Linked DNA regions of Saccharomyces cerevisiae S288C. The protein of the gene in region 2 interacts with the protein of the main gene of each other region in a pairwise test. Each region holds a gene or a part of one and is shown on either strand. Other genes may lie near its edges.

What was found.
Region 1: the proteins of AKR2 (region 2) and YPT35 interact in a two-hybrid assay, tested with the Saccharomyces cerevisiae proteins (2 studies listed by BioGRID).

What each region holds. Positions count from the first base shown.
Region 1 is NC_001140.6:322,961-326,121, reverse strand, and holds YPT35 (Ypt35p), read right to left. Parts: upstream 1,357-3,161; coding exon 712-1,356; downstream 1-711. Other genes in the region: thioredoxin-disulfide reductase TRR2, read right to left, coding at 1-524; GRE3 (trifunctional aldehyde reductase/xylose reductase/glucose 1-dehydrogenase (NADP(+))), read right to left, coding at 1,730-2,713; SBE22 (Sbe22p), read right to left, coding at 3,150-3,161.
Region 2 is NC_001147.6:394,337-399,375, reverse strand, and holds AKR2 (putative palmitoyltransferase AKR2), read left to right. Parts: upstream 1-2,289; coding exon 2,290-4,539; downstream 4,540-5,039. Other genes in the region: SHE4 (She4p), read left to right, coding at 1-1,641; YOR034C-A (uncharacterized protein), read left to right, coding at 1,708-1,950; Rad2 family nuclease EXO1, read left to right, coding at 4,852-5,039.

The DNA.
Region 1 (3,161 bases), on a different chromosome or scaffold from region 2:
AAGATAGGGACTGCACCATCACATACAGCACAGGCAGATATTCCCTGCTGCCAGTAGGTTTCCTCCCCTGGTAAATGCATTCTCTTAGCGGAAGCACCCGTGGCCAAGATTATAGCATCAGTGGTCACAGGCTCTGCATCCTCATTAAATTCGGTCCATAATCTGAATGGTTTTGAAGATAAATCGACTTTAGAGACAGTCTCGGTAATTATGTTAGTGCCAAACTTGGCAGATTGTTTCCTCATCCTCTCCATCAGTTCACTGCCACTCAACGATTCAGGAAACCCTGGGAAATTTTCGATATCGGTGGTTGTTGTCAATTGGCCACCAGCAGCAATTCCGTTGGCCATCATTCCCTCATATAATGTGGGCTTCATCTCTGCTCTTGCCAAGTATATAGCAGCGGTGTGGGCAGCGGGGCCAGAACCTATGATTGTAACCTTGTGATGAATCATCCTTGACAGCACGGACTTGCTGATGCCAACAAAATTCGTCCTGAATGGCGAAACTATATGTTTTATCATTGTTTATTTATATTAGAAACTGTGGAGTCCGTTTCGTTCTTCCTTTAATGTTGGACGATCCCCTAAAAGTTTTCATTGCGGTCAGCTCAAGGCATTCCCCATCGAGTGATTAATTAACAACGCGCCCGAGTTAAATGGGATAGTAGTAGTCGATGAGAAGAATAGTCGGTTGGATAGGGATGGTGAGCTATGCAACTCGTTTTGAAGGCTCTAGAAACTGTATGAGTATATCTTTGGTCATTTCTACGAGGCTGCTGTTAAGGATGATGTGATTGAGGAAGTACTCGAGCCCTCTCTGTCTTTTTGCCAGCCAGTCCTTGTTCAGATTCACTTCTTGATATTTCCAAGAACTGTACCACTGCACTGAAGGGGGAAGGTGTGGAATCTGCAAACAGTTAAGTTTCTCAGGTTTCGCTGTCTTGATTCTTGTGAGCAAATTCTCTCGTAATCTGACGAAATCGGAGTATCGTTTATAGGTTTGGATTTTATAGCTTTCCCTCTTGGCCGCAAAAGCCTTCAAGTTGGGTTCAAGAAATACGGTAATTCTCCAGACAGCAAACTTTGTTCCATGGTCGCCATTGACTATGGTGCAATCGCTGACATGAGCCTTTTGAAAACTAAAGTTTGCATTGATAGAACTGCTTCGTCTAGGTCTTGTTCTGGTAATTGTGGCACCGCAATCATTACTATGGCTAGTGCTATCATTGCTGTTTGACGCACTGATGGGTCCCTCATTTTCTTGTTGTGAGTCAATGTCGAGTTCAGGCTCCGTGGAGTCTTCGTCAAGTAGTTGGATGGGTTCGGGAGGTAGAAAGGATATCTTGTCGCTCATATCTTGCTGTTGTTTTAGTTGAAATGGAAGCTGCTATTAATATCCCGATAGATATCCGGTTACTCAAATGATTTTGGGACCGCTTTGCTCTCTTGGTGTCTATTTTAGTATCACTCACTCATCGCCCCCACTCGTTTCCCTTTTAATTTCAATTACCGTTGGGTTCTGTTAAAAAATAGCCAAATTGTCAACCATACAAGAGATGAATTAAAAGCGTGGATGACACCACAGGCAGAAAAAGTATATCCAACATTTTATTTAAAGCTGTTCTGTGTCTAAACAGAAGAGCATGTAAAAATTTATACACATATACAGCATCGGAATGAGGGAAATTTGTTCATATCGTCGTTGAGTATGGATTTTACTGGCTGGATCAGGCAAAAGTGGGGAATTTACCATCCAACCAGGTCCATGGATCATTAAATCTGATGTTGGCATTTAGTGCAGAAATATCCTTCAATTCTTGCTCCGTTAAAGTGAACTTTTTTTCGATTTCTAGGTTGCCAAGTAACCTTTCCTTCTTGGAAGATTTTGGAATGACGGCAATGCCTCTCTGAGTTGCCCATCTAAGCAATACTTGGGAAGTGGTACTGCCTGGATGGTTTTGTGAGACCTTCTTGATTACATCATTCTCGAACAGAGTTGGCGTGGTTTTTGCCAACTGTAAGTCCATCTCAATGAATGATTGAGGACCGAAGGAGGAGTAAGCAACTACTTGGATATCGTGTAATTTACAAAACTCAACTAGGTGTTCTTGAGTCAAATAAGGATGGTGTTCAATTTGCAAAGCCACGGGCTTGATTCTACAACCACGTAATAAATCTTGAATCAAGCTTCCCTGAAAGTTGGAAACACCAATAGACTTAATCAAGCCTTCATCAACACATTCTTCCAGAGCCCGGTACGTATCTATGATTGGTACATGTGCTTCGGTGATGTGACCTTTCTTCTCGTCATCTGCGCCCGTATAGAATCCTGGAGGGTATTTCTCTTCAAATGGAACATATTTGAAGGCGATTGGGAAGTGAATATAATACAGGTCTAAATAATCAAGTCCCATATCGCTTAAGGTCTTCTTTAAAGCTAATTTTACATGATCAGGATGGTGAAAATTGTTCCATAACTTTGAAACAACAAATATATCCTTTCTAGAAACAAGACCTTCGGAGATGGCTTTCCTGATACCTTCACCAACTTCCTTTTCGTTGCCGTAGTCGCAAGCACCATCGAATAAACGGTAGCCTAATTTGATAGCTTCATAAATTTGATTCGCACAGACTTTTTTGTCAATTTTCCAGCACCCTAAGCCGACTAGGGGCATTTTCAGACCGTTATTAAGAGTAACCAGTGAAGACATCTTTAAAAAATTTCCAATTTTCCTTTACGATTTATATTACAGTATTTTCCCAATCGTCTTGAAGGATTGCACTGACAACTATTTGCTTCTATATCCCTTATATACTTCAGTGTACCAGGAGTAATTTACTTGATAGGCCCCCTAGAAGTAGTAACTTCGAGGTTTTTTTTTTTTCCATAAAATTCTTCCGCATGTGGCTTTTCCCTTTTATGACGTATACGTTTACTACCAGCAACAATTGGGAAACAAGTATAGAATCTAGAGTTCCGATAATGAAATATTATAAAAGTTTTATTAAACAGTGAATGTGTAAAGAAAACAAACAACTATATGCTGAGGAGACTTCTAAATATATGCTGAGGAGTTTTCCTTGGGCTCCCTTTTAATCCAGTTTTTTTTTTCTTGTGCATGAGTGAAATTACAGTTACAAAAAATATCAAAACTTCTT
Region 2 (5,039 bases):
GAAATATTTTTGACCAAAGGACTAAGTAAGCTTTTTAAGAAGAGAGTATTCGAAGAGCAGGATTTACAGTTTACAAAAGAACTGCTGCGGTTATTATCTTCCGCGTGTATTGATGAGACCATGAGAACGTATATTACAGAAAATTACCTTCAACTATTGGAAAGATCACTAAACGTGGAAGATGTACAAATATATTCTGCATTGGTGTTAGTTAAGACATGGTCTTTCACAAAATTAACGTGTATAAACTTGAAGCAACTGTCCGAAATCTTTATAAACGCTATTTCAAGACGTATCATGCCAAAAATTGAAAATGTCAATGAAAGTGCGGTTAAGCTCGAGGAGGTTCCTAAAGTTGAAATGTCCGTTGAAGCGCTGGCATATTTAAGTCTAAAGGCCTCGGTTAAGATTATGATTAGGAGTAACGAGAGCTTTACTGAAATTCTATTAACTATGATTAAAAGCCAGAAAATGACGCACTGTTTATATGGTCTCTTAGTTATCATGGCAAATTTGTCCACTTTACCAGAGGAATCCAATGGTAGTTCACAGTCTATCAATGACTTAAAAAATTACGCAGATTTGAAGGGCCCAGGCGCAGACAAGGTAGGCGCAGAGAAAGAATCAAAGGAAGATATTCTTTTGTTTAACGAAAAGTACATATTAAGGACCGAGCTGATTTCCTTTTTGAAGAGGGAAATGCACAATTTGAGCCCCAATTGTAAACAACAAGTGGTTAGGGTTATATATAACATAACCCGCTCGAAAAACTTCATTCCTCAATGCATTTCACAAGGTGGTACAACTATCATCTTAGAATATTTGGCCAATAAGCAGGACATAGGGGAGCCAATACGGATTCTAGGGTGTCGGGCATTAACAAGAATGCTAATATTCACTAATCCGGGTTTGATATTTAAAAAATACTCTGCATTAAACGCTATCCCCTTCTTGTTCGAATTGTTGCCAAGGTCTACGCCAGTGGATGACAATCCGTTACATAACGACGAACAAATAAAGCTGACAGACAATTACGAGGCACTATTAGCTCTGACGAACTTGGCATCATCGGAGACCTCTGATGGTGAAGAAGTTTGCAAGCATATCGTATCTACAAAAGTATATTGGTCCACGATTGAGAATCTGATGCTAGACGAAAACGTTCCTTTGCAAAGATCAACATTAGAGCTCATAAGTAATATGATGAGTCATCCATTAACGATTGCTGCTAAGTTCTTTAACTTGGAAAATCCTCAGAGTTTGAGAAATTTTAATATATTGGTGAAACTTCTTCAGTTATCCGACGTTGAGTCTCAACGAGCAGTGGCTGCTATCTTTGCTAACATTGCCACCACGATTCCATTGATAGCTAAGGAACTGTTAACCAAGAAAGAACTAATCGAAAATGCTATTCAGGTATTTGCGGATCAAATTGATGACATTGAGTTAAGACAAAGGTTACTTATGCTTTTTTTTGGATTATTCGAAGTGATACCGGATAATGGCACTAACGAGGTGTATCCGTTGCTGCAAGAAAATCAAAAATTAAAGGATGCTTTAAATATGTCTTTAAAGAGAGGCGATTCAGGACCAGAGTTTTCAGCGGCAATTCCCGTTATCCTTGCTAAAATTAAAGTCTAATATGGAAAGAATCGCCATGTTTAACTCTTCTTAATTTTCACTAAGAAATACAACAGCACCCTGATAATGAACACACAAGAACTATGTAAGATTTTCGTAGCCAGAGAATATCCTCTGGTAGTGGTGCCCTTTATATATTTTGTTCTATTTTTACACCAGAAGTATCACACTACTCTAAATTATGTCTGGTACCCTACGTGTTCTAAAAGAATCTGGGTGAGAGAAAAAGGAAGAAAGTGCTCCTTTTTTTTTTTTTCAAAGGTGCCTCGGTCCGATGGCTTCGCAAACAATAGATGCCAAAGGAAATGATCTTCTCTTTTTCGCTTCTTTATTTTTTTTTAAGTTACGACTTCGTGCAGCCTGGGATGTACCAAGCTTGTTGTTAAACGAGCCTGACTTCTTAATCGCTTAATCTTAGTTGAATTTAGTAGTTCCAGTTTGTATGGCTGCTATTTTTGAGTATTTGGAATCATCTTTCGTTCAGCGATCTTTTTATCATTCACTTTGTCGTTTACAATTAGAAAGCGTCAAAACTTTGCATTTTTCATTTAATAATAACTGAACTCCACCAACTTTTTACTAGCAAGTTGTAAAGTTCATCGGTCAGATAAACATCTTAATTACCTGTGAAATACTCTACTGTTTCTTATGACCAGTATGTCAATTATTGATGATGAGAACGTGAAAAAAACTTCTAATGGGGCAGCTGTTGTCACTGATGTGGCTCAACACGCTGTAAGTGATTCGGACAATAACAAAGCGCAACTTCTAGGCGATGGATCCAACACTGAATATGTGGTTGATATTTTCATTGAAGCCGCTAAGGATGGGGATTTAAAAGTGGTGAAGGACGTGGTCGAAAGTGGAGCAGTGGATATTAATAACGACCGCATTGATGAATTATCCGGCTTACACTGGGCCTGTATAAACAATAGGTTTTCTGTAGCAAAGTTCCTATTACTTAGGGGAGCAAATCCTAACCAGGCGGCAGGCCCCGGAGGGGCTACTGCTTTGCACTGGGCCGCAAGGTACGGTAATATCTACATTGTTGACCTGCTTCTCAAACATGGCGCTGATCCGACGCTCAAAGATGAGCAGGGTCTTAACATCATGCATTTTAGCGTTTACAGTTCTAACATTTTACTTGTTGTTTATGTTCTTTATTTTGTCGTAAACAACAATGACAACGTCGATATCGATTCAAAAGATAACAATAACAGAACACCCCTACTTTGGGCTGCTTATCAAGGAGATTTTCTCACTGTAGAACTTTTATTGAAATTTGGCTCCACAGTTGCATGGACGGACAACAGAGGGTTCAATGCTCTCCATTGTGCTCTAGTTGGAGGTGATCAAAGGGTCATATGTGACTTAATACTTAGCGGTGCAAATTTCTACGAAAGGAATAACCAGAAGCAAGACTGTTTTGATCTAGCCGAAGGAATGGGAACCAAATCACTTTTTGAACAAGCGTTGCAACATCATGGATATGACAGGCTTGGAAATCAGAAAGACAAACTGTTCAAGAAAAGCTCGCATGCACAATTCACAATTTTTTTGTCACCATTTTTACTCATGGTTTACATATACTTAATTTCTCTCGTTCTTTCTCCAGTGCTAGCCATTATGCTTTCCCTACTGGTCACTGTTGTCATGGTCAACACATTAAAGAAGTTTGTATTACCATGCCTTCCCAGAAAAAACACTTACAAAGTTTCTTTGACTAGAACTCCCTTTTTCAGTGGCCTCTTTCTGTCCACTTTCTGTTTTTTAATATATATATGGACGAAGAAACTCTATCCATATAGTGTATCTGACTATACCATGAAAAACGTCCAGTTTTTGGTTACTTCCTTTCTCACAGTTGTACTATTTCTGAGATTAGTACGGTCAGATCCTGGTTGTCTGAAAACGGATGATAGTTTGACTTCGATACAAGAAACAATAAAACAACTGATTGACTTAGGGAAGTTTGATAGGGAAAACTTTTGTGTTGAGACATTAGAAAGGAAGCCTTTGAGGAGTAAATATTCTTTCTTTAGCGGCGCCCTGGTGGCCAGATATGACCATTATTGTCCATGGATTTATAATGATGTTGGCTTAAAAAATCACAAACTTTTTGTCTTCTTTGCTGTGACGGTCCAATATCACATGTTTTTGTTCATGTGGTTATGTCTGGCATATTTTAAGAAAACGAACTATATTTACGAACAAGTTGAAGAATATGCAAGATGTGCCCTGCTCAAGAATGAGACTTTGTGTAAGGGTTCTAATTACGATCCCTCTACCTTTTTTTTATTCATTTGGATTAGCGTAAACTTCATCTGGCTGGGGGCTATGTTGATTGTCCAGTTCTTCCAGATATTAAAAGGAATCACGACTCCTGAATTGTTCATCTTAATCAAGGAGGAGCACAAGGCAAAATTTATCAATCTGATACCCTTCGAAAACTCTATATATACCAGTGAAAGTAAAGGTGTTGAAGATAGTGATATGATTCCTGAAGGTCCAAGTGCGACCACCATTACTCACACAATTTCTATTGATGGTTTGGAACCAAGAAATAGGCGCCGCGCCATTCTTAGCGCTTGCTTTTCAATGATGGGTATTAATCAATGGCTCGTTACTATTAAGGAAATAGTAGGTATAACCCACATTTTGCATGGACAGGTTCCACAACAACATCACAGTTCATTGCTTCGAAGTTTCTTAGTGACAAATCACTGGAAGACGAATTTGACGGATTTTTGGCTTAATAGTGATGTAACAGCGCCCTTGTGGCAACGATTTTTCTATTCTTCGGATACTTCAAAAGCTATGTTGGGTGGAACTGAGGTTGACTACTACGAGCTATACGAATATCCGGCCCGAGAAGGAGAAGTATTACGTCCAAACTAAGTTCGCGTTTTATTTAAATTTTTTTCTTTATAGGGCATTATTTGTACTTTTTTTTCTTACGCGTCTTTAGCAAAGGCGGGAAGTACAATAACTAGTTTTGTGCACAACAAAAATTTGCGTGATTGATAGAAGGCAAAAGGATCTTTCGAGAAATTTGTATTACTGGCCCGTGTAAAAAAACCTTAACAAAAAATATCAGGTCCTTGCTCCTTCAGGTATATCTATATGCTCTCATAGAATTATATTTGATATTGCTTTTTGGACCACATTAAAATAAAAGGAGCTCGAAAAAACTGAAAGGCGTAGAAAGGAATGGGTATCCAAGGTCTTCTTCCTCAGTTAAAGCCCATACAGAATCCAGTATCACTACGTAGGTATGAAGGAGAAGTGTTAGCCATTGATGGCTATGCATGGCTACATAGAGCAGCCTGCTCTTGTGCTTATGAACTTGCAATGGGAAAACCAACTGATAAGTACCTGCAGTTTTTCATAAAAAGATT